Linked DNA regions of Xenopus tropicalis. The main gene of each other region encodes a partner of the protein of the gene in region 4 in a complex. Links are inferred from orthologs where the notes say so. Each region holds a gene or a part of one and is shown on either strand. Other genes may lie near its edges.

The links.
Region 1: tbp (region 4) and taf4 share a complex: the UniProt entries of both Homo sapiens proteins name them as parts of the TFIID basal transcription factor complex. The link is inferred for Xenopus tropicalis from reciprocal best matches to the Homo sapiens genes TBP and TAF4.
Region 2: tbp (region 4) and taf1d share a complex: the UniProt entries of both Homo sapiens proteins name them as parts of the transcription factor SL1/TIF-IB complex. The link is inferred for Xenopus tropicalis from reciprocal best matches to the Homo sapiens genes TBP and TAF1D.
Region 3: tbp (region 4) and gtf2b share a complex: the UniProt entries of both Homo sapiens proteins name them as parts of the TFIID-containing RNA polymerase II pre-initiation complex. The link is inferred for Xenopus tropicalis from reciprocal best matches to the Homo sapiens genes TBP and GTF2B.
Region 5: tbp (region 4) and taf10 share a complex: the UniProt entries of both Homo sapiens proteins name them as parts of the TFIID basal transcription factor complex. The link is inferred for Xenopus tropicalis from reciprocal best matches to the Homo sapiens genes TBP and TAF10.
Region 6: tbp (region 4) and gtf2h3 share a complex: the UniProt entries of both Homo sapiens proteins name them as parts of the TFIID-containing RNA polymerase II pre-initiation complex. The link is inferred for Xenopus tropicalis from reciprocal best matches to the Homo sapiens genes TBP and GTF2H3.
Region 7: tbp (region 4) and taf1a share a complex: the UniProt entries of both Homo sapiens proteins name them as parts of the transcription factor SL1/TIF-IB complex. The link is inferred for Xenopus tropicalis from reciprocal best matches to the Homo sapiens genes TBP and TAF1A.

The regions. Positions count from the first base shown.
Region 1 is NC_030686.2:4,389,809-4,394,090, forward strand, and holds the start of taf4 (transcription initiation factor TFIID subunit 4), read right to left. Parts: upstream 2,801-4,282; 5' UTR 2,787-2,800; coding exon 2,516-2,786; intron 717-2,515; coding exon 1-716. UniProt on the Homo sapiens protein: The TFIID basal transcription factor complex plays a major role in the initiation of RNA polymerase II (Pol II)-dependent transcription.
Region 2 is NC_030678.2:100,292,372-100,296,661, reverse strand, and holds the start of taf1d (TATA box-binding protein-associated factor RNA polymerase I subunit D), read left to right. Parts: upstream 1-1,490; 5' UTR 1,491-1,630; coding exon 1,631-1,803; intron 1,804-4,290. UniProt on the Homo sapiens protein: Component of the transcription factor SL1/TIF-IB complex, which is involved in the assembly of the PIC (preinitiation complex) during RNA polymerase I-dependent transcription.
Region 3 is NC_030680.2:105,695,398-105,698,874, reverse strand, and holds part of gtf2b (transcription initiation factor IIB), read right to left. Parts: intron 1,112-3,477; coding exon 1,005-1,111; intron 1-1,004. UniProt on the Homo sapiens protein: General transcription factor that plays a role in transcription initiation by RNA polymerase II (Pol II). Involved in the pre-initiation complex (PIC) formation and Pol II recruitment at promoter DNA.
Region 4 is NC_030681.2:50,706,327-50,710,480, reverse strand, and holds the start of tbp (TATA-box-binding protein), read right to left. Parts: upstream 2,801-4,154; 5' UTR 2,710-2,800; coding exon 2,659-2,709; intron 2,034-2,658; coding exon 1,714-2,033; intron 557-1,713; coding exon 469-556; intron 1-468. UniProt on the Homo sapiens protein: The TFIID basal transcription factor complex plays a major role in the initiation of RNA polymerase II (Pol II)-dependent transcription.
Region 5 is NC_030678.2:177,470,375-177,474,455, reverse strand, and holds the start of taf10 (transcription initiation factor TFIID subunit 10), read left to right. Parts: upstream 1-1,281; 5' UTR 1,282-1,292; coding exon 1,293-1,461; intron 1,462-2,512; coding exon 2,513-2,664; intron 2,665-2,898; coding exon 2,899-2,963; intron 2,964-3,893; coding exon of another isoform or gene 3,894-3,926; coding exon 3,927-4,041; intron 4,042-4,081. UniProt on the Homo sapiens protein: The TFIID basal transcription factor complex plays a major role in the initiation of RNA polymerase II (Pol II)-dependent transcription.
Region 6 is NC_030677.2:160,973,268-160,977,450, forward strand, and holds the start of gtf2h3 (general transcription factor IIH subunit 3), read right to left. Parts: upstream 2,801-4,183; 5' UTR 2,756-2,800; coding exon of another isoform or gene 2,746-2,755; intron 1,174-2,745; coding exon of another isoform or gene 1,094-1,173; intron 678-1,093; coding exon of another isoform or gene 571-677; 5' UTR 464-570; intron 1-463. Other genes in the region: eif2b1 (translation initiation factor eIF-2B subunit alpha), read left to right, coding at 2,953-3,127. UniProt on the Homo sapiens protein: Component of the general transcription and DNA repair factor IIH (TFIIH) core complex, which is involved in general and transcription-coupled nucleotide excision repair (NER) of damaged DNA and, when complexed to CAK, in RNA transcription by RNA polymerase II.
Region 7 is NC_030681.2:9,682,265-9,686,481, reverse strand, and holds the start of taf1a (TATA box-binding protein-associated factor RNA polymerase I subunit A), read right to left. Parts: upstream 2,801-4,217; 5' UTR 2,645-2,800; coding exon 2,536-2,644; intron 1-2,535. UniProt on the Homo sapiens protein: Component of the transcription factor SL1/TIF-IB complex, which is involved in the assembly of the PIC (pre-initiation complex) during RNA polymerase I-dependent transcription.

The DNA.
Region 1 (4,282 bases), on a different chromosome or scaffold from region 4:
CACAGCTCCTCCAGGACCAGGGTGCCCAGCTTGCATAGTCTGTCCTAACACCATATTGCCAGGGTTAGGCTGGCTCTGCTGAGGGGGCTGGATAATAGTTTTAGGGGATTCCGACTTGATCACCGGACTGGGCTGATTGTTCATTTGCAGCGAGACCCCGGCAGGGGCGGACAGAGGGGAATTGATCACAGTATTGCTCCCGTTCTGAGTGGCGGGCACGCCCTGGTGCAACAGAGGTCTCACCAATGCCACGCTGGTGGGTACGCCCGCCATGCCAGCTTGCTGCCCAGCTGCTCCCGCAGTGGATGTGGATGAGGAGGAGATGACTGAGGATGCCACGTTAGTAGTCCCAAGGAAAGAAGTCTGGATAACGGTGTTAGCTCCTGGGTTCACTCCACCCTTAGCGACAGGAGCCGGTCCGTTGTTTACCAGGCCGACAGCGGCATTGCTGTTCCCCTGGTAGGGGGTTCCGTGACCCCCAGGTCCGTGTGAATTAATCACAACATTACTCCCATTCATGGTCTGTAGGGTGGCATTTTTGCCATTACCTGAACTGTGGTTGGGCAGAGTGGAAGCCATGTTGCCCAGAACCCCAGATTTGGCCTGGCTAAGAGCTCCTGGTGCTTCGGGTATAGCAGACTGAGTCCCGTCAGGCTGTGCTGTGGTCTGTGGGCGGCTGTTAATGACACCTCCTTGTACTCCGGGTACAGCGGCTCCTGTGGGAGAAAAAGGACATTTTTTTTTAAACAGCAGGGAAAGAAACAGAGCTATGGGGTATACACCCGCCGGAATATACAGATAGCCACCCCTGTGCACCCACTCTGGTCCAGCACTTGGTTCCACCAGCAAACGCCCACTGGACCCCTCAGAAGCGGCATTAGGCAACCCCACAACCCAACATGCCACCCAGAAATCCAAACCATTCCAAGAGAACCCAATGATGCCCCCAGGAAGATTTACCCCCCCCCCCCCCCTTGTAAGTGAGCGGCATATAGACGGTGCCCTCAGTGCCAGCTCCCCAAGTACACGGGGAACATACCCCACATAAGGCAATTTCACCCACACCCCCCCAAATGACCATATAGTGCCTCTTGCCCCCCAAGTCCATTTATTAAGGCTCATTATAGCCCCCAGAAAATCCCAGGTATCTAAGTATCTACAACAAGGCCATCAGTAGCGCCAAAAGTTCATGTGGACCCCCAAATCTTCTCCTGGGGCACAAACTGCCCCCTAATGATCCACACAGCACTCATCTCCCCACAGTCACCCCCAAAACCCTAAAATGCCACAAATCTCTAGTCTGTTGCCACCAACAGCTCCATTAGTCCATGTGAGACTGGCCAGAAGGCTGCCCAGGGCCCAGTATACCCCCCAAATGCCCCCAGGCTGCCCGGTTACCCCAGGAAACTGCCGGGTACCCCAAATATCCAGTCGCCAGCCACCAACAGCTCTACGAGTCCATGTGAGACTGGCCAGAAGGCTGCCCAGGGCCCAGTATACCCCCAAATGCCCCCAGGCTGCCCGGTTACCCCAGGAAACTGCCGGGTACCCCAAATATCCAGTCGCCAGCCATCAGCAGCTCTATGAGTCCATGTGAGACTGGCCAGAAGGCTGCCCAGGGCCCAGTATACCCCCAAATGCCCCCAGGCTGCCCGGTTACCCCAGGAAACTGCTGGGTACCCCAAATATCCAGTCGCCAGCCATCAGCAGCTCTATGAGTCCATGTGAGACTGGCCAGAAGGCTGCCCAGGGCCCAGTATACCCCCCAAATGCCCCCAGGCTGCCCGGTTACCCCAGGAAACTGCTGGGTACCCCAAATATCCAGTCGCCAGCCATCAGCAGCTCTATGAGTCCATGTGAGACTGGCCAGAAGGCTGCCCAGGGCCCAGTATACCCCCAAATGCCCCCAGGCTGCCCGGTTACCCCAGGAAACTGCCGGATACCCCAAATATCCAGTCGCCAGCCATCAGCAGCTCCAGGAGTCCATGTGAGACTGGCCAGAAGGCTGCCCAGGGCCCAGTATACCCCCAAATGCCCCCAGGCTGCCCGGTTACCCCAGGAAACTGCTGGGTACCCCAAATATCCAGTCGCCAGCCATCAGCAGCTCTATGAGTCCATGTGAGACTGGCCAGAAGGCTGCCCAGGGCCCAGTATACCCCCCAAATGCCCCCAGGCTGCCCGGTTACCCCAGGAAACTGCCGGATACCCCAAATATCCAGTCGCCAGCCATCAGCAGCTCCAGGAGTCCATGTGTACCCCCAATTCTATTTCCTATGGGCCAATGTGCCCCCCCAAAGCCCTTGGCCCCCCTCCAAGTCACTCCACAGGCGCCAAGTAGTACAAGTATCCAGTTTTCCAAGAGCAGCAACTCCAGAAGTCCATGTGGGGCCCCCAGAGCGTTTCCCGGGGCCCATCACACCCAGCAGAGCCCCTGAAGGCCCCCAGTCAGCCCGCCGGCCGCCAAAACATTCCCGCGGCCCCCCTGCCCGCTCAGCTCGGCGCCCCCAGGCCTCACCCGTCTTAGGCACCTCCGGGGAGAGCCCTATCTTGGCTTCAGGCTGTCCCCCCGCACTGGCTGCCCCTACCCCCGGGCTGGTGACATGGTTAGCCAGGGCCTGGCTGCGGGCCTCGGCGGGGGGTTGCTGCTGGTGGTGGTGGTGATGATGGTGCTGGTGGGCCGCGGCGGCCAGCTGAGACTCCAGGGATCCCACCAGCTCGCTGACCACTTTATCGTCCACGTCCGTGTTGAAGAAAACCTCATCCAGTAGATCCGAACCCGCCGCCATCTTTACTCCGCCGCTCAACTCAGGAGGGCAGCAGCTCTGTGCGCCTGCGCGGCGGGGCAATTACGTCACACCGGAGCGGCGCTCCCATTGGCTGCTTCATGGCTACATAAGGAGCGGGCAAATGGCTGCGAGCGGTATTGGGAGGGCAGGAGGGGATCGAGCGGGGTCGGTGGAACGGGAGGGAGGCACAAAAATAGGGGGCGGTCGGGGAAGGGTCTGCGCGGGAAACCGGGTGGCGTGGCGACGCCTGAAGCGGAGAAAGTCGCCCCGCCACAGAAACGCGCGCTCTTTGTCTGCTCAATTCAAAATGGCTGCTGCGGGTGTCCCGCCGCCACTCCTGTCTGCCGCCCGCTGCGGGTTACCGGGAGGGAGGGGGCGTTCCTGTCACCGGGTGGGTGGGACACCTCATACAGGGCTCGGACAAACGCACTACTGCCGCTTGTGGGATCCGCTGTCTACCGACCGTGCCGCTTAGGCGGAGGGGCATGCTGGGAGTTGTAGTTTTACAACTAATGTGGTTCCCGTGACTATGGGCAGGGAGAAGCTTGTGTATCTGGGAAGGAGTGTAGGGGGGTGTAAATAAAGGGGTATGTGGGTGGATAAGAGGGGCATATGGGTAAATAAGTATATATATCCCTTGGGAACTGAATAGCTATCCCAGTAGAGTTGTTGGGGGTGTAATGGGGGTTATAGGGGGTGAATGATTACCCTAGGGCAGTGTTTGGAGGTATAAGAGCCAATAAGTACCCCAGTATAGTATCTGGGCAGGGGTATTGGGGTTATTATGGTGATGGGGGAGTTAAAGCCAAATAGAAATTCTACTAGATTATTTATTTATTTATAAGAAGTGGTGTAATGGGGACTAAGTACTCAATGGGCCTTGGGAAATGGACATGGCCGGGGGTTAATGTGACTGCCCCATTGTGGGGTAACAAACTGGGCAACTAGAGAGGGTATGGGGCTGTATAAGGGATAGATACAATCTACATGGGGTGATGATTTTCCCTGCACAGTGTTTAGAGGGTTAATCCCCAATAAATGATAGGTTAGTGGATCTACAAGTCATGACTGGAAACTGGATCCCCAAAGGATCACTGGAGGGGGGGGGGGGGGTGATCAGGGGCCCTGCAGGTTTTGTCCAATGAGAAGAATTCTGTCCCTTAAGGTTCTGGAATGGGTTCTGTTAGGGAGTAGGCTCTGATTCTGTATCCTCCCTCTATCGGATTTCTCCTCAATACTTTATAGAGTGCCTGTATGGTACCCAGCACTTTACAGAAGAGCTTGCAATCAAAGGGAAACCCCAAGCAGTATTGGGGTCCCATGTTATTTTATGTACCAAAGAGTAAGAATGTGCCACTGGCCTCCTGTTGTGAGGCAGCGCTAAAACACAAAACGTTAACCTATTATATAATGGAAGACTGCTCCTGCTCAGCCATTGGCTAGGTGGTGCCGGTGCACTGTCCCTTTAATTCCCATCTGGATATATTATTTATACA
Region 2 (4,290 bases), on a different chromosome or scaffold from region 4:
ACATGCAAGGATTGGGCCGCAATGCGCACACATTTAAAGATGAAGAGCTGCAGTCAAAGCAGACATGCATCGGCACGCAGAAAATCTTTCATTCTTTGCACCGGTCCCCGGGAGGAAAAATGTTGGGGACAGCTGCGTTAGGGCACTCTAACTATACACAAGAAGCTTCACCAGGCTCACTTCCCATAGGCAATGTAGGACATGCAACATAGGGTACACACAGGGAACAGAGGGCAGACAGACTAGGGGGCACAGGCAGGGAGCAGAGGGCAAGCAGAGTAGGGGGAAGAGGCAGTAGTACTCTAGCAGTAACACCAGTCCCACCAATCACCACATTTGCCACACTCACCCTATCAGGGCTGACCCACCCAATACCCCACTAACCCCCCCAGGGCAGGCAGTAGGGCACCTAGTAGTAGAGCCTAGAGTCACCCTAGTAGGCACAGGCAGAGAGCAGGGGGGGACAGGAAAACAGCAGAGGGCACAGGCAGTAGTACCAGCCCCAACAAACATCCCATTTGCCACACTCACCCTCTCAGGGCTGCCCCACCCAACCTCCCAGGGCAGGCAGAGTATGGGGGGCACAGGCAGAGAGCAGACAGCAGAGTAGGGCAGAGGGCACAGTCAGGGAGCAGAGGGCAGACAGAGTAAGTGGGTGCAGGCAGAGTAGAGCCTAGAGTCAGCTAGCAGTCACAGGGGCACAGGCAGGGAGCAGAGGGCAGGCAGACTAGGGGGGGACAGGCAGGGAGAAGAGGGCAGGCAGAGAAGGCCACCTAGTAGTAGAGCCTAGAGTCACCCTAGTAGTAACACCAGCCCCACCAAAAATCACATTTGCCGCACTCACCCTCTCAGGGTTGCCCCACCCAATACCCCACCAAACCTCCCAGGGCAGGCAGTGTAGTGGCACACAGGGAGAAGAGGGCAGGCAGAGTGGGGCACACAGGCAGAGAGCAGACAACAGAGTAGGACAGGGAGCAGTAGGGGGCGCAGGCTGAGTAGGGGAACACACAGGGAACAGAGTGCAGAGAAGGGCACCTAATACAGCCTAGAAGTCACACCTGCCCTACCAAACCTCCCAGGGCCACCGCACCAAAAGCCACATTTGCCACTCACCCTCTCAGGGCTGCCCCACCCAATACCCCACCAAACCTCCCAGGGCAGGCAGTGTAGGGGGCACAGGCAGGGAGCAAAAGGCATGCAGAGAAGGGCACCTAGTAGTACAGCCTAGAGCCACTCTAGTAGCCACATCTGCCCGACCAAACCTCCCAGGGCCACCCCACCAAAAGTCGCATTTGCAACACTCACAAAACACGAGAGACTTCCCAGAGCTCTGTATCTCTCACTCACAGAGTAACCCACCGTCGTCTCGACAACGCACGAAAGACCGTCGCGCCTTTAGGTGGAACTTATATACACCATGTATACCACGTGACGATGACGCCGCACGATGACGTGCCCGGGCTCGGCATAGGCTTTACATACAGCACGTGCATCACGTGACGATGATGCAGTGTACACGTGACAAGGACGTCACTTGGATACGCCCATACACCACGTGTATAACGTGAAGATGACGGCGTGCGGAACGTGCCAATGATGTCACTGGGGTACGAATAGCCACTAGGAACTAATGGCTACCATCGCAGCAATGTTTGAGGAAGGAAGTGAACCAGATGCACACAGCTATGATATTCTTCAAAGCCAAGAACTTTTTAGTGATTCGGATTGTAATTTATTAACGAAGGATGCCAGTAAGCCAAACAAAAGTCCAACTAACAGTCATCATGGCCGTCTGCTGGACAGGTAAGTTTATACCTAGTTTAATAAAAGTTTATTGACATAGAAAACAGAGCTGACCATTTGTATTTTAAAATACAGTCACGTCAGGTAATTTGTCACTTCAGGGTTTTGTAACTCTTGGATTGGAAGACAATTGTAATCACTTAGGGGCACATTCATTAAAAGTACGACAGGTCCGATTTCAAAAATTTGTATTTTTTCTAAAGTTTACAACTTCTGCGTATTTTGAGTAACTTTTTTCGTACTTTGTGTCAATTTGTGCAACAAAATCGCATTTGTCACAACAAGTACGAAAGTTTCGGATTCATTTAAGCTAGTGCTGGGCGGTATACCGGTTTAACCGGTATACCGGTTTTTGAAAAAAAAACGATATGATTTTTGAACATACCGCTATACCGGTATGCGTGCCTCCTGCAGTTTTTATCCAATTACATCCGGGTTGCGCCCGTGCGCACGTGACGTCGGCGCGCATGTGACGTCGGCGCGCACGCGACGTCGCTAGGACGCATCGCTGGAGGAACCACAAGTTGGGTAAGTGGGGCTGGGGTTGTGGCTGTGGCTGGGGCTGGGGGGGTTGTGGCTGGTGCTGGGGTTGGGGGGGTTGTGGCTGGTGCTGGGGTTGGGGGGGTTGTGGCTGGTGCTGGGGTTGGGGGGGTTGTGGCTGGTGCTGGGGTTGGGGGGGTTGTGGCTGGTGCTGGGGTTGTGGCTGGGGCTGGGGCTGGGGGGGTTGTGGCTGGTGCTGGGGTTGTGGCTGGTGCTGGGGTTGGGGGGTTGTGGCTGTGCTGGGGTTGTGGCTGGTGCTGGGGTTGTGCTGGTGCTGGGGTTGGGGGGGTTGGGGCTGGGGCCTGGGGGGTTGTGCTGGTGCTGGGGTTGGGGGGGTTGTGGCTGGGTTGGGGGGGCTGTGGGGGTTGTGGCTGGGGGCTGGGGGGGGTTGTGGCTGGGGGGGCTGGGGTTGGGTGGTTGGGGTTGGGGGGGTTGTGGTTGGGGGGGTGGGGGGGCCACCAATATTTATTATTTATTTTTTATTTATATACCGTCAAATACCGTGATACCGATATAATTTTGAAAAATACCGTGATATAAATTTTTGGTCATACCGCCCAGCTCTAATTTAAGCTTCGTTATTGTGACTTTCCGTGGGCCAGGTTGGAGCTGCAGAGTGCCATTGAGCCCCATGGGAGACTTTCCTTGGGCCGGGTTGGAGCTGCAGAGTGCCATTGAGCCCTATGGGAGGCTTTCCTTGGGCCGGGTTGGAGCTGCAGAGTGCCATTGAGCCCTATGGGAGACTTTCCTTGGGCCAGGTTGGAGCTGCAGAGTGCCATTGAGCCCTATGGGAGGCTTTCCTTGGGCCGGGTTGGAGCTGCAGAGTGCCATTGAGCCCTATGGGAGGCTTTCCTTGGGCCGGGTTGGAGCTGCAGAGTGCCATTGAGCCCTATGGGAGGCTTTCCTTGGGCCGGGTTGGAGCTGCAGAGTGCCATTGAGCCCTATGGGAGGCTTTCCTTGGGCCGGGTTGGAGCTGCAGAGTGCCATTGAGTCCTATGGGAGGCTTCCAAAATCATTCACTGAAGGTTCAAACTCAGAAAGGTTTTCCCGCCGTTTACGATCGTTTGGATTCCAACATTTCATAACTTTCGGATCGTACCACAATATTTTCGTACAAGCACGACGTGACTTTTTCGCAAAATTAACGCACATCAGAAATTTGTGTATTTAATTCAAATTTTCACAAATCGTACTTGTAATTTGTACTTTAATGAATCTGGCCCTTAGTTTAAGGGTGATGGCGTATTGGGCACTTTGTTGTTCACATGAAATTGTGTAACCCTGTCATCAAATTGCTGGAAAATACATTTTAAATATTCACAAAATGCATCTTCCTCTATTTTGGGGTGGTGTGCACACAACAATTCCCATGATCAGCAATGATTAGCTATTTTTGGGTGTTTTAATACCCATACAAGAGCTTATTTTGCATGGGCACCAAAACACCCACATTCTATCCTCCTTGAAGGGGACATATAACTTTATTGTGCACATGTTAAAAAAGGTACTACAATAAGTGAGTGGGTTAAAGAGATGGGAAATGTTATGCGAATGGAGGAACTACTTATTAATGTCCAGGGGACACCAGACAAATTTGTCTCGACATGGTCCCCATGGATTATGTTCTTAGAATCATATAAAGATAAATGAATGAAACTGGACTAGGAACACTACTAGAAAGCAGATATACATGAAAAGGTCTAACGTTAATTGCTGGAAACGATATGAGGTTAACAACGGAGCGGCTGAGCGACTGAGCACTTCCAAGTTCTGTTCCCCCCCCCATTATGAAAATTCTCTTTCCCCCTTCATCTTCTGGTTTCTGGAAAAAGTTATCTCCCCTTCTCTCTTACCCCCCCCCCCCCCCTTCCTTCCTTTTCTCACCATGCTTTTTTCCCTCAGTACCATATCAGACAACATGGTAATAATGACAGCAACAGCTTAACT
Region 3 (3,477 bases), on a different chromosome or scaffold from region 4:
GCAGCTGTTCATTATCTTTTATGCCTTTTGCATTTTCCTTTACATGGTGCCAACATATGAATATATGTATAATCTCTGTATTGTGCTACAGAATATCAGTCCCTGCCCCAGTGAAGGTTACAGTCTCATGTCTCCAACAAACTATGGTTAATGAGGAGCCAAATAACCTGCCAGTAAGTTTTTGGGATGTGGGAGGAAAGTGGAAAGCATGGGAAGGACAAATTCTTTGCAGATACTGCCCTGACTGAGGCTTTGTGGCTTTTTTCTGAATCTAAAGCACCAAAAGAACTCTATGCCATATGTTGCCAAAAGAGGAGCTTTGCCTGAAGTCCACTAAGGGAAAGATTTAGGTTTGCAATTTATTTGCCACTATGGATATCACTAGCACTATAGGGGGTTGACAAATTTAACAAAGTTTTCTTATGTGTAAACCTGAATTCAGGTGTGGGGGAGACTGACCAAATCACATCAGGGTAGGATTTCAGAAGACCATCCTATGGGATACAGCCACTCTGTTAAAACAGAGTAACAAATCTACCAATGCTCTTTCTCAGCACATGATAGGGCACTGGCAAATAGGGTAGCCAACCTTTTTCAGGCCATGAAAGAGTGAATGGATAAGTGTTATTTTCCTGTTTGTGGGATTGCAAAACAGTCCAATATCTAGATGTTCAGGCCAAGGGCTCCTCTCTGCATAATCTGACCACTTAATGTAGAGCACCAGCAAAATGCTGTAGGTCTAAATATTTAAAAACGAAAAACTGGCTCTGAAGCTACAAAGCTACAGAGCACAACCGTAAAGGCATTATATATACCTAAGCCATAGTAATAATGATGAGGATTATTATGAACTTAAGCAAAATATATATAGGACACTAAAAAAACCAGTTTGTTTACCGATTTGCATTTAGTGAAAAACAGAATTCATGTTTAACACAAGCCCTAACAGTGAACTCAGAAATAGATTACACATTTAATAATGGGGTTTTATAACAAAGACTTACCCACTACCAATCCGCATTCTGAACAGATCATATCCCCAGCCCTATAATCTTCTACCAGAAGGGCATCAGGATGGTTTGGGCAAGTTACCTTGGGAAGTGCATCAATGCTGTTTGGAAATAAGAAAAATTAGGTTACTTACTTACATGTGCAGTTTGTACAAGCAGCAGTGAGTGTTACATGGCTCCAGCCAGGCAGCTGTATACTGAAGCCATACAATGTTTCCCATGTTGTGGATAACATTTTTTATTTCAAATGATTTGGGCCAATTATTCTATAGCAGTTATGCCATAGAAAGATGTCTTTGGAGATCTTGGGCAGACGGGCTATAAAGAACTCAGAAAAAGCCACATACAGCCCTCAGTCCTCCAGCTGAACAGCCCTATTCTATTTAATACTGGACATAAGCATTTGTTAGCAGTAACATTTGGTCTTAATAAATGCAGACAGAAACACACTGTTCGGTTAGATGGGAAAATCACTTAAAACGAGAAAGTCAGCCTATATACAGCAGGCAACTAAATTTAGGCCAAGAAACAGGAGTACATTTGAAGCCAAAAGCTACCTTTGTGTTTAGAATTGGTGCAGTAACACTGCTGGGGTCACGTTGGATTTCTATGCATTTACCCCTAACAAAGCATGCACCATAACCTGGGTTTGAGCAGTAAGCATGCTGCGTGCCGGGGAGAAAAAGTGCAGGGGCTGCTAACATCACCCTACACTTAGGCTGCAAGTTAAAGGAATGCGGATTACCTGCAAGAAGACTAAACATGGAGTACACAGCAAGTTAATTTACTCAACTGTAGAGTCCATTAATATGACCCTTTAATTATGCCTATAACAAGTAAATACATCTATGTATACCATTAGAGCAAGTGCTTGTCTTAAAGCTTACATTCTGATTGCAAGTAAGAAAAACATACCAATAGCCGGGTGTCAAAAACTGAAAAATGAAAGACATACATAAAAATGTGCCATTTAGAGAAAACTGCTTGAGACCTATCAATCACCAGTAATTTGTTTAAAAGAAACCGAAAGCGATCTAAAGCACACAAAACATGGGGATTAAAAGGAACAAGTTTTTTCAGCTGGTTTATGGCTTGAGAGTTAAACACAGCCAAAGAGTAAAGATATCATGGGTGTGATCAGTTCACCATACTGAACAGTTGGTATATGCACTGCAACAATAAAACTTCCATCCGATTAAATATGCAGTCAGAATAACTGCAACCGCATATAGAATACAAAAGGCCTCAGTGTACTGTTTGAAATGTACAACTTGTATAATTACATAGATCAGTGCTGTCCAACTTCTACAGTGCCAAGGGCCGGAATTTCTCTAGCATACATGGTGGAGGGCCGCTAATGGAAGCCAGTTTTGACCACTCCCCTTTTTGAAACCACACCTATTTTATCACAATGGTGGTAGCACAGCAAAATCCCAAATGCTTGGTCCTTACTGTGGGGATATCAACCATCATTCATATGTGAAAGAATTAGGTCATATTAAGATATACCCTTAAATTCCATATGCCTCCTCCTCCCCTGTGGATAGCAGAGCAACCCCCAGTACATAATTAAACACCTTAGGGACCATTTAATGGCTATTTCCAACTGCTAACAAACTCCCACAACAAACCCCTGCCAGGTTCACCTCCCACAAGCAGCATAGGGCAAGCAGAGTATGGCACACACAGGCAGCACTCTGCCTGTCCTATGCTGTCTGTGTGCCATACTCTGCCTGTCCTACCCTGCCTGTGTGTGCCATACTCTGCCTTCCCTATGCTGCCTCTGTGTGCCATACTCTGCCTGCCCTACCCTGCCTGTGTGTGCCATACTCTGCCTGCCCTACCCTGACTGTGTGTGCCATACTCTGCCTGCCCTACCCTTCCTGTGTGTGCCATACCCTCCCTGACCTATGCTGCCTGTGTGTGCCATACTCTACCTGCCCTATGCTGGCTGTATGTGCCATACTCTACCTGCCCTATGCTGGCTGCATGTGCCATACTCTGCCTACAGTACCTATGTCTGAGGTGTGAATACGTGAACAATGGGAGTGATTACAGTCTCAGCCTGAGGTGTGAACACTGCAGGGGGTGAACAATGCAGGGATTAAAAGGTGTGAAAAACACAATGGATTACATTTTTAAACAATACAGAGGGATTACAGCCTGAATCTGAGGTGAGAACCATGCAGGGGGCCAGTTAATCTCAGTACTTATACCATTTAATGCTTACTCAAAGGTAAGCCATCAAAGCAGCCAGACAGGTGGGGGGCCACACAGAGGGGGGCCCGCGGGCCGCCAGTTGGACAGCACTGACATAGATCATTCACACCAGTCCCTGTGCCAGTGAAGCTTACAAAGGAACCCAGAAATATCAAAAACTACCAATGAAGAAGATTCGAAATGTACATATAAGTGACCAAGGACTGAACATTTTCACCCACCTGACAATTCTTTGGAAATTAAGTTC
Region 4 (4,154 bases):
GATAACCCATCCTCATGCCACTTCTAGGCCAGCATAAAAATACTATGCCCAGTGGGTATGGCAGGACAAAATTACAAACAGGAAATCCTTTTCTCATCACACATTTACAGAATTAAGTGCCATACAATGCACCAGTGTGTTCTCCTGAATGACTTTTACAGATAGATAAGAATATTTAGGGCTGTGACAGACGAGATGATTAGTTGCGACTAATCTCCCCGAAATGCCATCCCACCGGCTAGAATGTAAATCGCAGGTGGGATGGCATACGCGGCATCTTTGAGAGGAAACTTCGGCGATGCTTATGCCATCCCACTGGCAATTTACATTCCAGCCAATGGGATAGTATTTCGAGGAGATTAGTTGCTCGCGACAAGGGAGATTTGTCACGTGGCAACTAATCTCCCCGTCTGTCACAGTGAAAGCAACTATTAGGTGAATAAGATACAACAAAGGCTTTTGTCTTACCTTAGGGTTATACTCTGCATTTCGCGCTCTAAGTGCAATTGTTTTCAGATCCAGTTTGCAGCCAAGATTTACAGTGGACACTATGTTCCTGAACAATGTAAAAGCAGTTATTACAAATCCAAATATTTTTGCTCACTGTATTTAAAGGTATTCAGTCATTAATTTTTATTGTGTACTTATATTTCTAAATTACTGTTTACATAGCAAATAATTTACCATTTAAAATTTTATTCTTAAACCAACAAAAGTAATTTTTTAGTTGTAGGCAGCCAGATCAGTGCATTGTGCCCGAGTCTGAGCTTTCAGAAGGAGCCAGAGCTACTGGACTTGAATTTTTTTTTTTTTTTTACTATTGAGTACTGTTCTGATATCTACTGGGAGCTGCTAGCTTGCTAACTTACATTGTTCTGCTGATCGCCTGCAGGGGGATGATGATATCACTCCTATCTGCAGCACAGTAGTAAAGTGTGACTGACCTTTATCAGAGCAAAAGTCACATGACTGTGGCACCCTGGGAAATGAACATGGCTAGCCCCATGGGAAATTTTTAAAAAGTATTACAAAAAAAAAATTTGCACTATTAGTACTTGTAAAAGTGCTAAACTATTTTAATTTCCCAATTCTTTACTTGTTCTATTTTTCACACATGTTGGACAGATATAGGACACATTAAAACTAGGATACTACTGTACATGCTAAATTACATATCAAGACAAGTCTTTCTCCCTCAATAAAGTTTCACTTTAAATATGACATCAATTCAGTCTCAAGAATGTGGTGTAAAAGTCTGAAATGAGGAAACCGTCTGCATCTGTTTCTAGACCTAATATATACACACACCCCTGGCCTGGTAGCTTTTAAATCTAATATGGACTCCTATATTTTTAAGAAATGTAGCTTTTTTTTTTTTTAAACAAATGTAACACTCACAGGGTAAACAAAGGTAATGCAGCACTGTTAAAATACTCATTAGTACCAAAGGTAAAACAAAGATAAGGTCTTTTAATTTTGACAGGCCACACTCAAATGTGGTATAACAAATAAAGTCATTACTGTCTAAAATTAAAATATGCCAGAATATGTTTCCATTTCCTGTATATCTAATATTTACCATTTGCAGAGTTGTATGCTCTATGGCACTACAGAAATGTACAGACAAACATAAGGATTTGTTGACAAGTGTGCAGATACAGATAATCTGACAAATGATATCTGCAAAATGTCCCCCAGGATGATGAGACTTACTGTAGCTGAGGAACAATTCCTGAACTTTCTGATGCAGGGGTAGCAGGAGTAATAGGGGTCATGGGAGTCATTGGGGAGGGGTATAAGGGTGTATTTCCTGGAAGAGGTGCTGTGGTAAGAGTCTGTGGGTGAAACAGTTGTGGGGTTTGGCCTGACCCCTGATTGCCTTGTTGTGATGTAGACTGCTGGGCCTGTTGTTGTTGTCTTTGCTGTTCTTCCAATATTGATAAACTGTTAGTTGTTTGTACAGGTTGAGGGGTCAGACCAGTTCCATAGGGCATCAACGGACTGAAAATGTTAATCCCTGGAGTCAGAGAACCCTACAGAAATAAAAGACAAAAAAAAAAAAAAAATTATAACAAATTTGCTCTCAAACCCACACACAAGTTGAATCACAAGTTAAAATGGGCTTAGTACATGGGGATTTCTTTAATGAAAATCTTATGGTATAGCCCTGCACATGGAGTAGGACAAGCTAAGGGCTCTTACACACAGGTGTTTTCACCCTGCAGTCTCCCGAATTGGATTTCTTCTCCTTTCCACCACAAGGAAGCATAGGATGAAATGCAGCTCTATATTCATTCACATGCATGAATGAGAACGGAACACATCTGTTTTGTGTTCAAGAGCCCTCAGGATGGCGTTCCTCCACCTATTACGACAAGCGCCCCAGCAAGAGAAACATTTGCATTGAAGCCAATATTGGCTGCTGACTTGCATTTCCCCCCTAAGTCAGTTGGAAGCATATTGGCCTGTGTCTCAAGTTTTTCTTCTATTTTTTCATTCTTCAGTATTGTATCTGTTGTCCAAATTAACCACACCCGGTATACCGTATACCCCCCAATTTAGAAAGTGCAAATGAAGTGAATATTACAATGCTTTTAAAGGCATTTTATTTTATGGAGGGGGAATTGTGGTAAAAGGGAAAAAAGGGTTCACACTTACCTGTGGTGATGCCAACCCCTGGAAAGGGGGTATACTGTTGTTTTGATCCATGTTGCGTTAATTGGAAATCCCACTAAGAATAAAACAAAGTGTGCTGTTCCTACAAATTAAAATAAACCATTCCAGCAGCAGACAAAAATCCTATAAAAAGAAGTTAAAAAAAAAAAAAAAAAAAAAACATTAAAACATAGCTTACATTCAGCAGTTAGCACCTGTATTGGTAAATGTGATAAGTTAACAGTAGGACAGAGGGCCATAACAACGAGCCAATGTGGTCCCCGATCCGTGTTGGGGGTGCCCATACACAGGCAGATAAGCTGCCAAATTGGTCTGAAGGAACTAAATTGGCAGCTAGAACCTGCAAGTGTATGACAACCTTATGTGACCATAGCAAGCAGTAAAGACAACACCATGAAGCTAATCTGCTATTAATCCTACTGTATAAATCAGTGACCCAACAACTAGATGACTGTTTAAAAGAACAAATAAAGTAAAAAAAAAAAAAAGATAAGATGTAGGGGATATTTATAATATTAGCAGCAGCAAATTGCTTGAAATGACAAAAAAAGGTATACTAAAATGGTGTAGTCAAATTATACACTTGCAGATGTCACAATGGGATTCCTTCAAGCAAAATTTGTAAAATGACCTGCGTGTGGTTTTAGTTTCTCCAAATCTCTTAAGGGCTCTGGCACACGGGGAGATTAGTCGCCACGACAAATCTCCCTGTTCGCGGGCGATTAATCTCCCCGAAATGCCATCCAACCGGCGAAAATGTCATTCGCTGGTGGGATGGCATACGTGGCGGCACGATTTCAGTGAAATAGCGGAAGTTTCCTCTCAAGGCAACTTCCGCGATTTCACTGAATCGCCGGTGGGATGGCATTTTGGGGAGATTAGTCTCCCGCGAACAAGGAGATTTGTCGCGGGTGACTAATCTCCCCGTGTGCCAGAGCCCTAAGAAGCTATAAAAACCATAAACGTATTCATTCAGATGTAATAATCAAGCCTTGTTATATCTAAATTCTGAGATTTTGTAGTACAATAATACAAATTTTGCTATATGTGCCCCTAAACCTTTTTCTCTGAGGAACCAATTAAACGCACAAATTAGTTTCACAACACAAGGTTGGTTTATGTACATAACTTAGTGCCTAATTTCCATTGTACTCAGTAAGATCATGCCTCAACAGTACAGGGAGCCGTAGGTTTATTGCTGAGTTTAGGCTGTAGCACTACAGAATGAGCTAGAAAATAGTAGAAACTATTAGACTAGATAAAATGGCTCCAAATCAAATTGGTCAGCTCAAGGCCAAAGAAGCAAATCTAAAATTTGCCCAGCTTTAAAGGAGAAGGAAAAGTAAAATGACTGGTAGTAGTAAATATTATTAGGCATCCTCAGGGATTCCAGCCACTTAGTTTACCTGCTTCAGCAACCCCACCCCCTTTCAGGCATAACCTGCCAGGCTTGGGCAAGGGCATGTGCACTACAGAAC
Region 5 (4,081 bases), on a different chromosome or scaffold from region 4:
CTGACGGCGAGTGTGTTAGTTACTGACGGCGAGTGTATAGTTACTGACGGCGAGTGTGTTAGTTACTGACGGCGAGTGTGTTAGTTACTGACGGCGAGTGTATAGTTACTGACGGCGAGTGTATTAGTTACTGACGGCGAGTGTATTAGTTACTGACAGTGAGTGGGTTAGTTACTGACAGTGAGTGGGTTAGTTACTGACGGCGAGTGGGTTAGTTACTGACAGTGAGTGGGTTAGTTACTGACAGTGAGTGGGTTAGTTACTGACAGTGAGTGGGTTAGTTACTGACAGTGAGTGGGTTAGTTACTGACAGTGAGTGGGTTAGTTACTGACGGCGAGTGTATTAGTTACTGACAGTGAGTGGGTTAGTTACTGACAGTGAGTGGGTTAGTTACTGACGGCGAGTGGGTTAGTTACTGACAGTGAGTGGGTTAGTTACTGACAGTGAGTGGGTTAGTTACTGACAGTGAGTGGGTTAGTTACTGACAGTGAGTGGGTTAGTTACTGACAGTGAGTGGGTTAGTTACTGACAGTGAGTGGGTTAGTTACTGACAGTGAGTGGGTTAGTTACTGACAGTGAGTGTAAAGAGACCCCCATAATGGCTGCCTGAGTGGAGGCGGGGGGGGGGGGGGTGGATCAATAAAAAGAAAGTCCCAGCTCCCGGGAGGCGGACACTCACCCACTTGCTCAGTGAATCAATGTCGGAGCAATTTGGATCCGGTTTTCACTCTTGTGGTTTCCCAGTCCGTTTTCGGTCTGCGAACTCCGCCATATTGCTACACCCAAATACTGGCCTCAAGCAGCCCCTGCCCCAGGGTAAAGTCCAGCCCGCCGGCTCCTAACAGCCCCGGTTTGGTTGCCTGTGGCGCTTTTCACGCTCAGAAGAAGGAGTTGGTGTCGCGCCTCACTGTCAGTCTGACTCCCATGCACTTCGCTAAGCTCATTTCCGTGTGTAGCAACATGGCGGCACTCTAGCGTGCCTCAGCACGTAACCAAGCGACATCCAATCACAGTCTGGCTTTGTTCAAATCCTAACGCAGCTTTGCTATCACCGCTTTGATTGGCAACATTTTAAGCCAGTAAATGGCCGCGCCCTGGCAGGTAGCCAATGGGCTTTCTACGTAAGGTTATGTTTCTCCTGAGCTGTGTAGCTGCCGCATTGGCCGGTAGGGGGCGCTGGGACACGCCTTGCAGGAAGATGGCGTAAAGGCACTGCCCGTTGTTTTGGGGAGGAGATTAAGTGGAGGAGCTGTTTCCGGGTGTTGACGGAAGTTCCTGTCCAAGGGTGAAGATGAGCGGGACGGAGACAGCGCCAGACTCTCTATCTGCTATTGCCTCAGTCCAGCCCGGTCCGGCCCCAGAGAGTAAGCCCAGCCCGGCAAACATTCCCAAACCCGGGCCTGCCGCGGCCTCTGCAGCTGCTCTACCCGGGAGGGACACGGGGGAGCGAAGAGCCAGCGGTGAGCGGCAGCAACTGAACCGGAGAGGGAGGGGGGGGTACTCACAGGGGACTGGGACTCCAGGAAAGGCCTGGGGAGAGAAACCCAAGCATGGAGGGGAAAGGGAGAGCCGGGGGGGCAGCTGGAGCAGAGAGGGGCCCGGGGGGGGCAGCTGGAGCAGAGAGGGGCCGGGGGGGCAGCTGGAGCAGAGAGGGGCCCGGGGGGGCAGCTGGAGCAGAGAGGGGCCCGGGGGGGGCAGCTGGAGCAGAGAGGGGCCGGGGGGGGCAGCTGGAGCAGAGAGGGGCCGGGGGGGCAGCTGGAGCAGAGAGGGGCCCGGGGGGGGCAGCTGGAGCAGAGAGGGGCCGGGGGGGCAGCTGGAGCAGAGAGGGGCCCGGGGGGGCAGCTGGAGCAGAGAGGGGCCCCGGGGGGGGCAGCTGGAGCAGAGAGGGGCACCGGGGGGGGCAGCTGGAGATGAGAGGGGGCCCCGGGGGGCAGCTGGAGCAGAGAGGGGCCGGGGGGGCAGCTGGAGATGAGAGGGGCCCGGGGGGGGCAGCTGGAGCAAAGAGGGGCCCGGGGGGGGGCAGCTGGAGATGAGAGGGGGCCCCGGGGGGCAGCTGGAGATGAGAGGGGCCGGGGGGGCAGCTGGAGATGAGAGGGGCCCCGGGGGGCAGCTGGAGATGAGAGGGGGGCCCCGGGGGGCAGCTGGAGATGAGAGGGGGGCCCCGGGGGGCAGCTGGAGATGAGAGGGGGGCCCCGGGGGGCAGCTGGAGATGAAAGGGGTCCCGGGGGGCAGCTAGAGAGGAGGGGGCTGTCATAGCTGAGAATTGCCCTTTGCTAGGGCAGGGGGTAGGAGTGGTGCCGGGGGTGAGAAGGGGAACGTATGGAAGGAGCTGGGTGAATGGACCTGTTTCGGGGCAAATGGTGCCCACTGGGTTGTACAATGGGGAGTACAGTTTGGGGACAGATAGGGTGGGGGGGTATTTGGAGAATTGGGCGCAGGTAAGTGCCCGGCTGTGTGACTATTGCCCAGTCCTTTCCAATTCCAATGTATGTTCTGTTATTGATCCTCCAGTCCCTGCATCAGCGGCTGCTGCCCCCTCCGAGGGATCCCTCTCTAATGGCGTGTACCTGCCCCCGGGGGTGGCAAATGGCGATGTCAAACCTGTCATTTCCACTACCCCCCTGGTGGATTTCCTGATGCAGCTGGAGGACTATACCCCTACGGTAAGTGTCCCTTGGGTCTGTATGGGAAATGCTGTGCCCTAGGGTACTGGGGGGGGGCAGTGCCAGGCATTTGCCCCACCTTACACAGTGTCAGGGTGCAGCTTGTGCCTACAGAACATCATTTCTCTGTATGTATGTATATCTGTTGGTGGGAGCTGCCATATTGTTTCCCTGTATCATTGCTTGTATCTGTTCCAACATTTGCTTTACATTCCTTCTCCCGATTTCCTGCAGATCCCAGATGCCGTCACTGGATATTACCTGAACCGGGCCGGGTTTGAAGCATCCGACCCACGCATGTAAGTACAACTCCTGCTGCCATACGTTATTGGCCCGTGGGTACCGGAGCTTCTCAGAGCCCTGTAGCAGTTGCCTCGACTAGGAAGAACCTTCCCTTATTCTGGCCAGCCTGTAGCGCTAGGTTATGGGCCGCCGTGGCCAGTAGCCGTTTGCTCTGTGCCTACCAGGAGAGCTGACAGTCACGCTTATGGCCACAGCAACTGGAGGCCTAAATAGGGGTTAAAGTGCCCGTTCTGGTGCTGCCATTCCGTTATATGTATTATCCCTCTTTATTATTGTTTATCTTGCTTTCTAGGAACTGTAATGTAATTGGTGGAGACTCGTTTGGTGAGATTGCCAAATGAGCGGATCTTCTCCACCTACAGTGGGCAATACCGGGCTAGGGCCAAACCATCGCAATGGCAGATATCGGTTGGGTAGGCCCGTCGGGGGGTGCCCATACACGGGCAGATAAGCTGCTGAATTGGTCTGAAGGACCCGAATCGGCCCTTAAAGGAAAAGTAACACTAAACATTTTTAACTAAAAAATCTATTCTGCCCTCCCCCAATAATTGCCCTATCCTGAAATCCATTTGTTATTGTGAATGCATCAACTATGCGGTGATCGACTGATCGAGCCTAGCCTGACTCATTCCTATATACAGAAGTCAGGGGCTAGATCAGTCGATCACCGCATAGTTGATGCATTCACAATAACAAATGGATTTCAGGATAGGGCAATTATTGGGGGAGGGTAGAATAGATTTTTTTAGTTAAAAATGTTTAGTGTTACTTTTCCTTTAACCCTAGCAACCAATCAGAGTTGCTTTCATTAGTCTTACTGCAGTTATCCAATCAGGCCTGTATGGTGATTACTATGAGTTCAGCACAGCATCTGTATTGACTTCGCTTATTTTGAATTTCACACCGGATCCTCTCGATCTCTGTAGTGATCCGCTGACCCCACCGCTTGTCTCTCCTAGAATCCGGCTGATCTCCTTGGCATCTCAGAAGTTCATCTCTGACATTGCAAATGACGCCTTGCAGCACTGTAAGATGAAGGGGACGGCCTCCGGGAGCTCTCGCAGCAAAAGCAAGGTACCCCGCCAGCAAATGCCCTTCAGTGGGGCTATTGTGC
Region 6 (4,183 bases), on a different chromosome or scaffold from region 4:
ACCTACAACTATTTTACTATGCTAAAAAGGCCGTTTTTTGCACTGGCAGCAGACATCTGCATTGATGACACCTTACCATATCAGAAACGAACATATATTGCCAGAGACTGCCCCAATAAATTTCATGCCATCTGGGTTGCTTGGTAAATGCTCTAGCTCTACTAATTAACTTAATGCCTGCATACACTGTGGTACTAATGCTATTTACTTGCCACACCTTTTCTTACCTTCCTGCTTTCTTTCTTTTCCGTTTCTCAAACTATTGCGTAAAAGTTTGGGAAAATAATAACTTTTAAAAAAAGGGACCTATGTGTTGCTGTAGGCATAGTAAGGCCCAATGGTGTGGGTGGCAGTACACTTTCATATAAGTTAAACCAAGTGCAGAAATAACATAAGAGGAGATGAGGACAAAGGCAGTTAATTGTTTTTGCACTTGATTTACTAGTTATGAAGGAGTTGTTACCTGTGGTGCAACTTGTGGCCAATGGGTCCGCCTGCCACTCACACAAATGAGTGTTATTCTCCCTTTTAACTATTATTGATATTGGTACAGATAAAAGCTCTGTTTACCTCTCTTGAATATGACTGGCAATGACAGCAAGCTTGTTATTACGGCCCATAAATAGATGGGAATTCCCCATCACTATTACTGCATCAATGCATTTTGGAAGTGTTACCTGCCGAAAATAAAACATAAAAATGGTTATAACAAGCCTGCATATTAGCATATTTTTAAACACAGTTACATTGGGCTAACATGCCTGACAATTACATAATAAGCTGGATGTAATTTAAAGGCAACACAGAAGGAACTGATAGGATTGGATACAGAGAAATAGAATTGTATGTGATTGCCAAGCAATTAGACTGAGATGAATGGTCATGTGATTGTTGTTATGATACTGATCTGAAGCTGCTGCAACACTGCAAGACATTTGCAGTTGAATAGTCTGCTGTACATGGAGTACTTAACAACCAAATAAATTATTTTTTAGTGTGTGGGTAGTAAGCTCAACTTTTAACAGGACGGCTAACCTACCAGGACCACTTGTAAAATGCAATGTGTCTGGTTCATAAATGACTTTTTCTTTACCTCTGAATGATTAAGTGCCTGCTGACCCCACCAAATAGGATTCACATCAACAACAACAACCAAAAGATTCACGTCATCATCTGCAGGAAAGAAGGAATTTTTGAAATGCCTATTCTAGCAATAGGATGGGTGTCAGTTCTCTATTATCTTTAAAAATTCTACAAAGCATTTATATGCATTATGGTAAATCACTACCATCAACTGAATAATATATGCCTTTACAAATTCCTTTCAAATGTGTAACTATATTGAAGTTTAACAGTTCTCAAGAAACTTATTCCCTGCAGTCTGCACTTGACGCTGCTGGTTCATTCAATATATTTTTCTACCAAACTGGAATCTTTTAGGGCTGGTATCTACTAAAAGTTGGCAAGACCCATGATTCAGCATGGGATTCTATTGTATGAGAGCAACAGAGTTAGTTGGAACCATTGTGGGAAGCAGCTAACATTGATAAAGCACAGATGCCTATAGACTAGAAGTTATACAGGTAAATCTTTAATGTTATAAGCTATATAACATATGATAGTATAATTTACAGTAGCATATTCATTTAAGATGCCAGCATTATTAGCATGTAATAACATTTTTATACATATAGTGCAAACACACTTTATTATCATTTATCCTGCAAAATTCACAATTCAGGGTACAGCTACAATGGAGACATCTGTGGACCTACAATACAGGCAATATCTTAATGGCAGTTAGGGTTGGGAAGGCAATTTTACACAATGCTGGGGCAACACAAGATTTAAATAAATCCATGAGAAGGGGTAAGTGAAATGTCCGCTTGGTACAGGCAAATTTGCCTGTGTTCCATTTTAGGTTATAACATTTATCATTTTCATGCACATACTTTTATGCAGTGCGGCATTTGACATTTACTGAATAAGGTCCGTCACACTGGATGATGGCATTACCCTATATTTGGCAATCATATAGGAGTAGCACTGTATGTTGGCAAAGGTTTGTCATCTGCTATGCTACACAGACTTGTTTCAGAGAATAAGGAGTTGTTTGCGGCAGATTATTAACTGATTGCTCAGTTAATAAAAACTAGTGGGGGATCCAGTGGGGAACTGATTGATGTAGAAATAAAAATTGAACTAGGTTTCTAAAGTGTTTATAAAAAAGGCTGTAAAAGATGTTGTATTAGGGACCAGTACCCACTTGTTATGCCACTGGCCTAGACTGGCAATATGGATATTCTGGCAAATGCCAGTGGGGCAGCTGTTAGGTGCTATAGACTTGTGCTTTATTTTGGGCCAGTGGGTCTGCCTAGGCCACCAGTCCACCTGCATTAAATAGCTTATAATAAGTTGATATATGAATTGCATGCAGTTTCCAAATGATTCCTGAATGTGTCACTGAGCTGTAGGTCCGTTGTGCGCCTGTCAGCATGGGACATTTCCATAGCTACCCTGTAAGTAGTATTCTGTACTAACCGGAAGTGGCAATGGTATTATGGTGCGTATTTCTGGGTTTATATAGCGCAGGGCTTTATTATCATCCTGCACTTTTCACAATGCGCCCAAGCTCTGAATTGTTCTGAAGAACCCCAACACCAAGCATAGCCTGGCAGCCTCTCAGGCGGCACCCCCACACCGCACAGCCGCATTCATAAAATCCACAACACCCAGGTAACTCACCAGAAGCCATAGCAACTCTTCTTCTCAGAATGAAACAGCCATTGCACTGTCGCACTCCAATGACGTCGTCCGCGTAAGGGCGTCTTCTGTCAGCTCGCCATGCCGAGATTAACTCTGTCCTTGCCAGATGATAGCAGGCCGGCGTGGAGAAGCTTTTGGGTTGTAGGGTAGTAGCGACTTTTTCTTTCAGAGAACGCAGGCGGAACCATGAATGAAGAAGGTGAGGACTGGGGTCCGGGGTCCCGCAGCATATACACAAGCCGAGCGCCCCAGCAGTCAGGCTCACGGAGCGGGGGGTCAGGCCATGCTATATGGAATTCAGCGATAAAGTTATCTCCAAGCTGTGGGCTTCCAGCTGCCATTGGGATCTACCAACCTGCTGGTAAAAGCTCCACCGATGCAGGGTGGACACGCTACAGATACATTGCCGAAATATATCAAATATATAATATATGGCCCAATTACCAATGGAAGCAGCTGGCATGGTATAACAGTCTCTGTTGTGAAGGAGCCCTCATATTGTCAGCTCTTATGTTAACCCTATTGTCCCTGTGACATTATCATATCCCACAGCTACAGACAATGTTGCTTTATAAATAAACTATTACATGATATGGGCCATTCTCACTTAGTGCAGTATTTACTGCTGGTTCCCTGGCCCTGGCTTGGGTATATGGGATAATATAGAAAACAGCAGTAGAAATAAAGGGAAAGTGATGGAAGAGCAGTCGGAGCAAGGTTACATTCATTGGAATTTTGACTGTAGAGCCTCTTAAACAAACATGCAGGGAAGCTGTATAGTGTGAATATTTGCTTTTTATGTTTCAATTTTTTACCTCATAAGTCTAGATAGTATAGATATAGTATAGTATCGTAATATAGATACACATTAAGAGGAAAGAGTAGGGAACTCACACAGACGCCTACTATTACCCCAAATTGCTTCCTCAGTGCCTGGTTAAAACTCAAATATTAAAAGAGACTAAAAGGTTTGTAAAAAAAATGCCTGACATGCATTTAGCCAGAGATTTATTAAAGGCGAAACGCGCGTCAGGCAGTTTTCTAAAATCTCTTGAATATTGGGAGTGTGTAATAATTGGAATTTTGTCAAATTTGCACAAGACTTCTATAGGGTGTTTGTTCTTGTATCTTGTTGTAGTTCAACTACTAGTTCCTAGTTAGGTATTTGGGCCTTGGAAATTGGAATCATTTAAGTTTTCCTCTTCTGTAATATTGATATAAAGACAACTTTAATCACAGCACTTGTCACTTTAATCAAATTGGGGGACTGTAATAAGAAATACTATTGCATTAATATAACAAAAAGCACTAGTATTTTGTTTAGAAAAGTAAATTGAATAGACCTTGAAAGGTTGTCTTCTCTTTCTTCTTAATTTGTTATAGTTCGACTACACCCTCGCAAGGTAATCTGGTTCTT
Region 7 (4,217 bases), about 41 Mb from region 4:
ATTTTAACATGATATGTCTCCTTTATGAGGGCTAAATGTATCAGTTTACTGAGGGCAGAGGTTCCCTATATACAATTTAGCAACTCTACAGCCACACCAGGCCCAGACTGGCAATCTGTGGGTTCTGGCCAATGCCTCTGGGTACTGGGAATGCCAGAGGGGCTGCTGTAAGGTACCACAGACAGTCACTATTTATTGGGCTGGGGGGGCGTTTGTGCCTCTGGGTACTGGGAATGCCAGGGGGGCTGTAAGGTGCCACAGACAGTCACTATTTATTGGGCTGGGGGGGGGGCTGTTTGTGCCTCTGGGTACTGGGAATGCCGGGGGGCTGTAAGGTGCCACAGACAGTCACTATTTATTGGGCTGGGGGGGCTGTTTGTGCCTCTGGGTACTGGGAATGCCAGGGGGGCTGTAAGGTGCCACAGACAGTCACTATTTATTGGGCTGGGGGGGGCTGTTTGTGCCTCTGGGTACTGGGAATGCCAGGGGGGCTGTAAGGAGCCACAGACAGTCACTATTTATTGGGCTGGGGGGGAGCTGTTTGTGCCTCTGGGTACTGGGAATGCCAGGGGGGCTGTAAGGTGCCACAGACAGTCACTATTTATTGGGCTGGGGGGGGGGCTGTTTGTGCCTCTGGGTACTGGGAATGCCGGGGGGCTGTAAGGTGCCACAGACAGTCACTATTTATTGGGCTGGGGGGGGGGCTGTTTGTGCCTCTGGGTACTGGGAATGCCAGGGGGGCTGTAAGGTACTACAGACAGTCACTATTTATTGGGCTGGGGGGCTGTTTGTGCCTCTGGGTACTGGGAATGCCAGGGGGCTGTAAGGTGCCACAGACAGTCACTATTTATTGGGCTGGGGGGGGGGCTGTTTGTGCCTCTGGGTATTGGGAATGCCAGGGGGGCTGTAAGGTGCCACAGACAGTCACTATTTATTGGGCTGGGGGGGGGGGCTGTTTGTGCCTCTGGGTACTGGGAATGCCAGGGGGGCTGTAAGGTGCCACAGACAGTCACTATTTATTGGGCTGGGGGGCTGTTTGTGCCTCTGGGTACTGGGAATGCCAGGGGGGCTGTAAGGTGCCACAGACAGTCACTATTTATTGGGCTGGGGGGGCTGTTTGTGCCTCTGGGTACTGGGAATGCCAGGGGGGCTGTAAGGTGCCACAGACAGTCACTATTTATTGGGCTGGGGGGGCTGTTTGTGCCTCTGGGTACTGGGAATGCCAGGGGGGCTGTAAGGTGCCACAGACAGTCACTACTAAGGGGTATACTTACATACCCCCCAACTGTCCCGCATTGCGGGACATTCATGGAACTATCCGGCACAGCAGGATGCGCTTGCTGTAGCCGGATGTTCTTGCTTCGTCGGCTGCTTCGTTATGCCTCTCCTTGTGCAGCGCTACAGGCCCTTTTATAAGGTTGCGCCTGTGGGTGTGACGTCATTACGCATGGGCGCAACCTTATAAAAGGGCCTGTCGCGCTGCACAAGGAGAGGCATAACGAAGCAGCAGAAGAAGCCTGCGCCTATGGGAGGTACTGTGAATGGGGGGCCACTGTGATCGGGGGGGCCACTGTGATCGGGGGGGACACTGTGATCGGGGGGGACACTGTGATCGGGGGGGACACTGTGATCGGGGGGGACACTGTGATCGGGGGGGACACTGTGATCGGGGGGGACACTGTGATCGGGGGGGACACTGTGATCGGGGGGGACACTGTGATCGGGGGGACCTGTGGGGGGGGACACTGTGATCGGGGGGGACACTGTGATCGGGGGGACACTGTGATCGGGGGGACACTGTGATCGGGGGGGACACTGTGATCGGGGGGGACACTGTGATCGGGGGGACACTGTGATCGGGGGGACGGCTACTGTGTATGGGGGGCTACTGTGTATGGGGGGCTACTGTGTATGGGGGGCTACTGTGTATGGGGGGCTACTGTGTATGGGGGGGCTACTCTGTATGGGGGGGCTACTCTGTATGGGGGGGTTACTCTGTATGGGGGGGTTACTGTGTATGGGGGGGCTACTGTGTATGGGGGGGCTACTGTGTATGGGGGGGCAAAACTGGTACTTAGTTATAACTGACTGCCTTCTCTCTATACTTGTATTTATATGTAGGAGTTGCTATATTGTTTTCCTTAGGTAGTACAGTATGAGGGTATAGCACATTTTCGTCTGCGCCCGCCATTTCATCTATATAAAAGGGGTATTTTTTTTTAATGGGGTGTGGTAATTGGGGCGTGGCCACAAAAGGGGGCGTGATTAAAAAAAATGCCGCACTGCGCGCGCGCCAAATCTTTTTGTCCCTCTTTTCATTTTTCAAATGTTGGGAGGTATGTACTTATCATGCTGTGTAAAAAGTGGAGTAAAGCAGTACTGGTGATGTTACCCAGAGCAACCAATCAGCAATTAGATTTCAACAGTTAGAAAATCAAATCAAAGCATCTGATTGGCTGCTATATACAACAACACTGGTGATGTTTTACTCCACTTTTTACACAGCATGATCAATATACCCTTAAGTGTCTTTACCGTGGGGTTTCCTTCTTGGCACCGGCAGCTGGAGCCCCAGAACCTCCTCCTCACTCGGTCCCTCCTCGGAATCTTCCCTTTCCGCACTGCGTTCGCTGCTCCCATCCATCTCCCCTCGGTTACAATCAGACAAGCGGGCTGCTTCCCCCTCACACTGTGTTTACATTCCCCGCAGCGCCGCTTGCACTTCCAGCCCCAAGCATCCCGCAGGCATGTTCAGCCACACGCCGCTAGCCTCCTCTCGCGAGAATATGACGTCATGAACCACGTATAAAAGGGGCGGAGACGGCGCCAACTCGTCATTGGGTGAAGAGTTAGTCAGGCAATAGCTGGCAGTGGGGGCCGCTGACTGATTATTCTGCTCTCACAGATTCTGATTTTGTTAGAGAATAAATAAAGAAAATAACGACTGCTTTTTTCCTTCGTGTTTCCTTGCCATGGCCACTGCCCTTAGAAGCTTTATCCCCAGTGTTTGATGAAAAAACAAATATTTGCTTTCTCTGCTCCACAGAACATGTAAATGGGAACAAAAAAAACACTTTGTTTATATTTGTGGGTGAGGTAAATATGAAAAAAAGCTTTATTTTTCTGGTGATTACCAGCAATACCCACTACCCTCAGAGTCTGCTCCTGATATCCCAAACTTAGTATTTTATTTGAAGTTACACTGCCATGTTTTTGTGAATAATGGACATGGTTTTAATTTTTGATTTTTAAAAACCCTATAACCCACCCAGTTTTTCAATTATTGCCTCACTATTGTTACAGTTGGCCCATACAGAACATTTGGTCATTCCTTTCAGCTTTGATCCCTTTGGACATCCTTGTTACAGCCATACTAAGCAATAGGCAGCAATAGTTACAGCTATACTAAGCAATAGGCAGCAATAGTTACAGCTATACTAAGCAATAGGCAGCAATAGTTACAGCTATACTAAGCAATAGGCAGCTATAGTTACAGCTATACTAAGCAATAGGCAGCTATAGTTACAGCTATACTAAGCAATAGGCAGCAATAGTTACAGCTATACTAAGCAATAGGCAGCAATAGTTACAGCTATACTAAGCAATAGGCAGCAATAGTTACAGCTATACTAAGCAATAGGCAGCTATAGTTACAGCTATACTAAGCAATAGGCAGCAATAGTTACAGCTATACTAAGCAATAGGCAGCAATAGTTACAGCTATACTAAGCAATAGGCAGCAATAGTTACAGCTATACTAAGCAATAGGCAGCAATAGTTACAGCTATACTAAGCAATAGGCAGCTATAGTTACAGCTATACTAAGCAATAGGCAGCAATAGTTACAGCTATACTAAGCAATAGGCAGCAATAGTTACAGCTATACTAAGCAATAGGCAGCAATAGTTACAGCTATACTAAGCAATAGGCAGCTATAGTTACAGCTATACTAAGCAATAGGCAGCAATAGTTACAGCTATACTAAGCAATAGGCAGCAATAGTTACAGCTATACTAAGCAATAGGCAGCAATAGTTACAGCTATACTAAGCAATAGGCAGCAATAGTTACAGCTATACTAAGCAATAGGCAGCTATAGTTACAGCTATACTAAGCAATAGGCAGCAATAGTTACAGCTATACTAAGCAATAGGCAGCTGTAGTTACAGCTATACTAAGCAATAGGCAGCAATAGTTACAGCTATACTAAGCAATAGG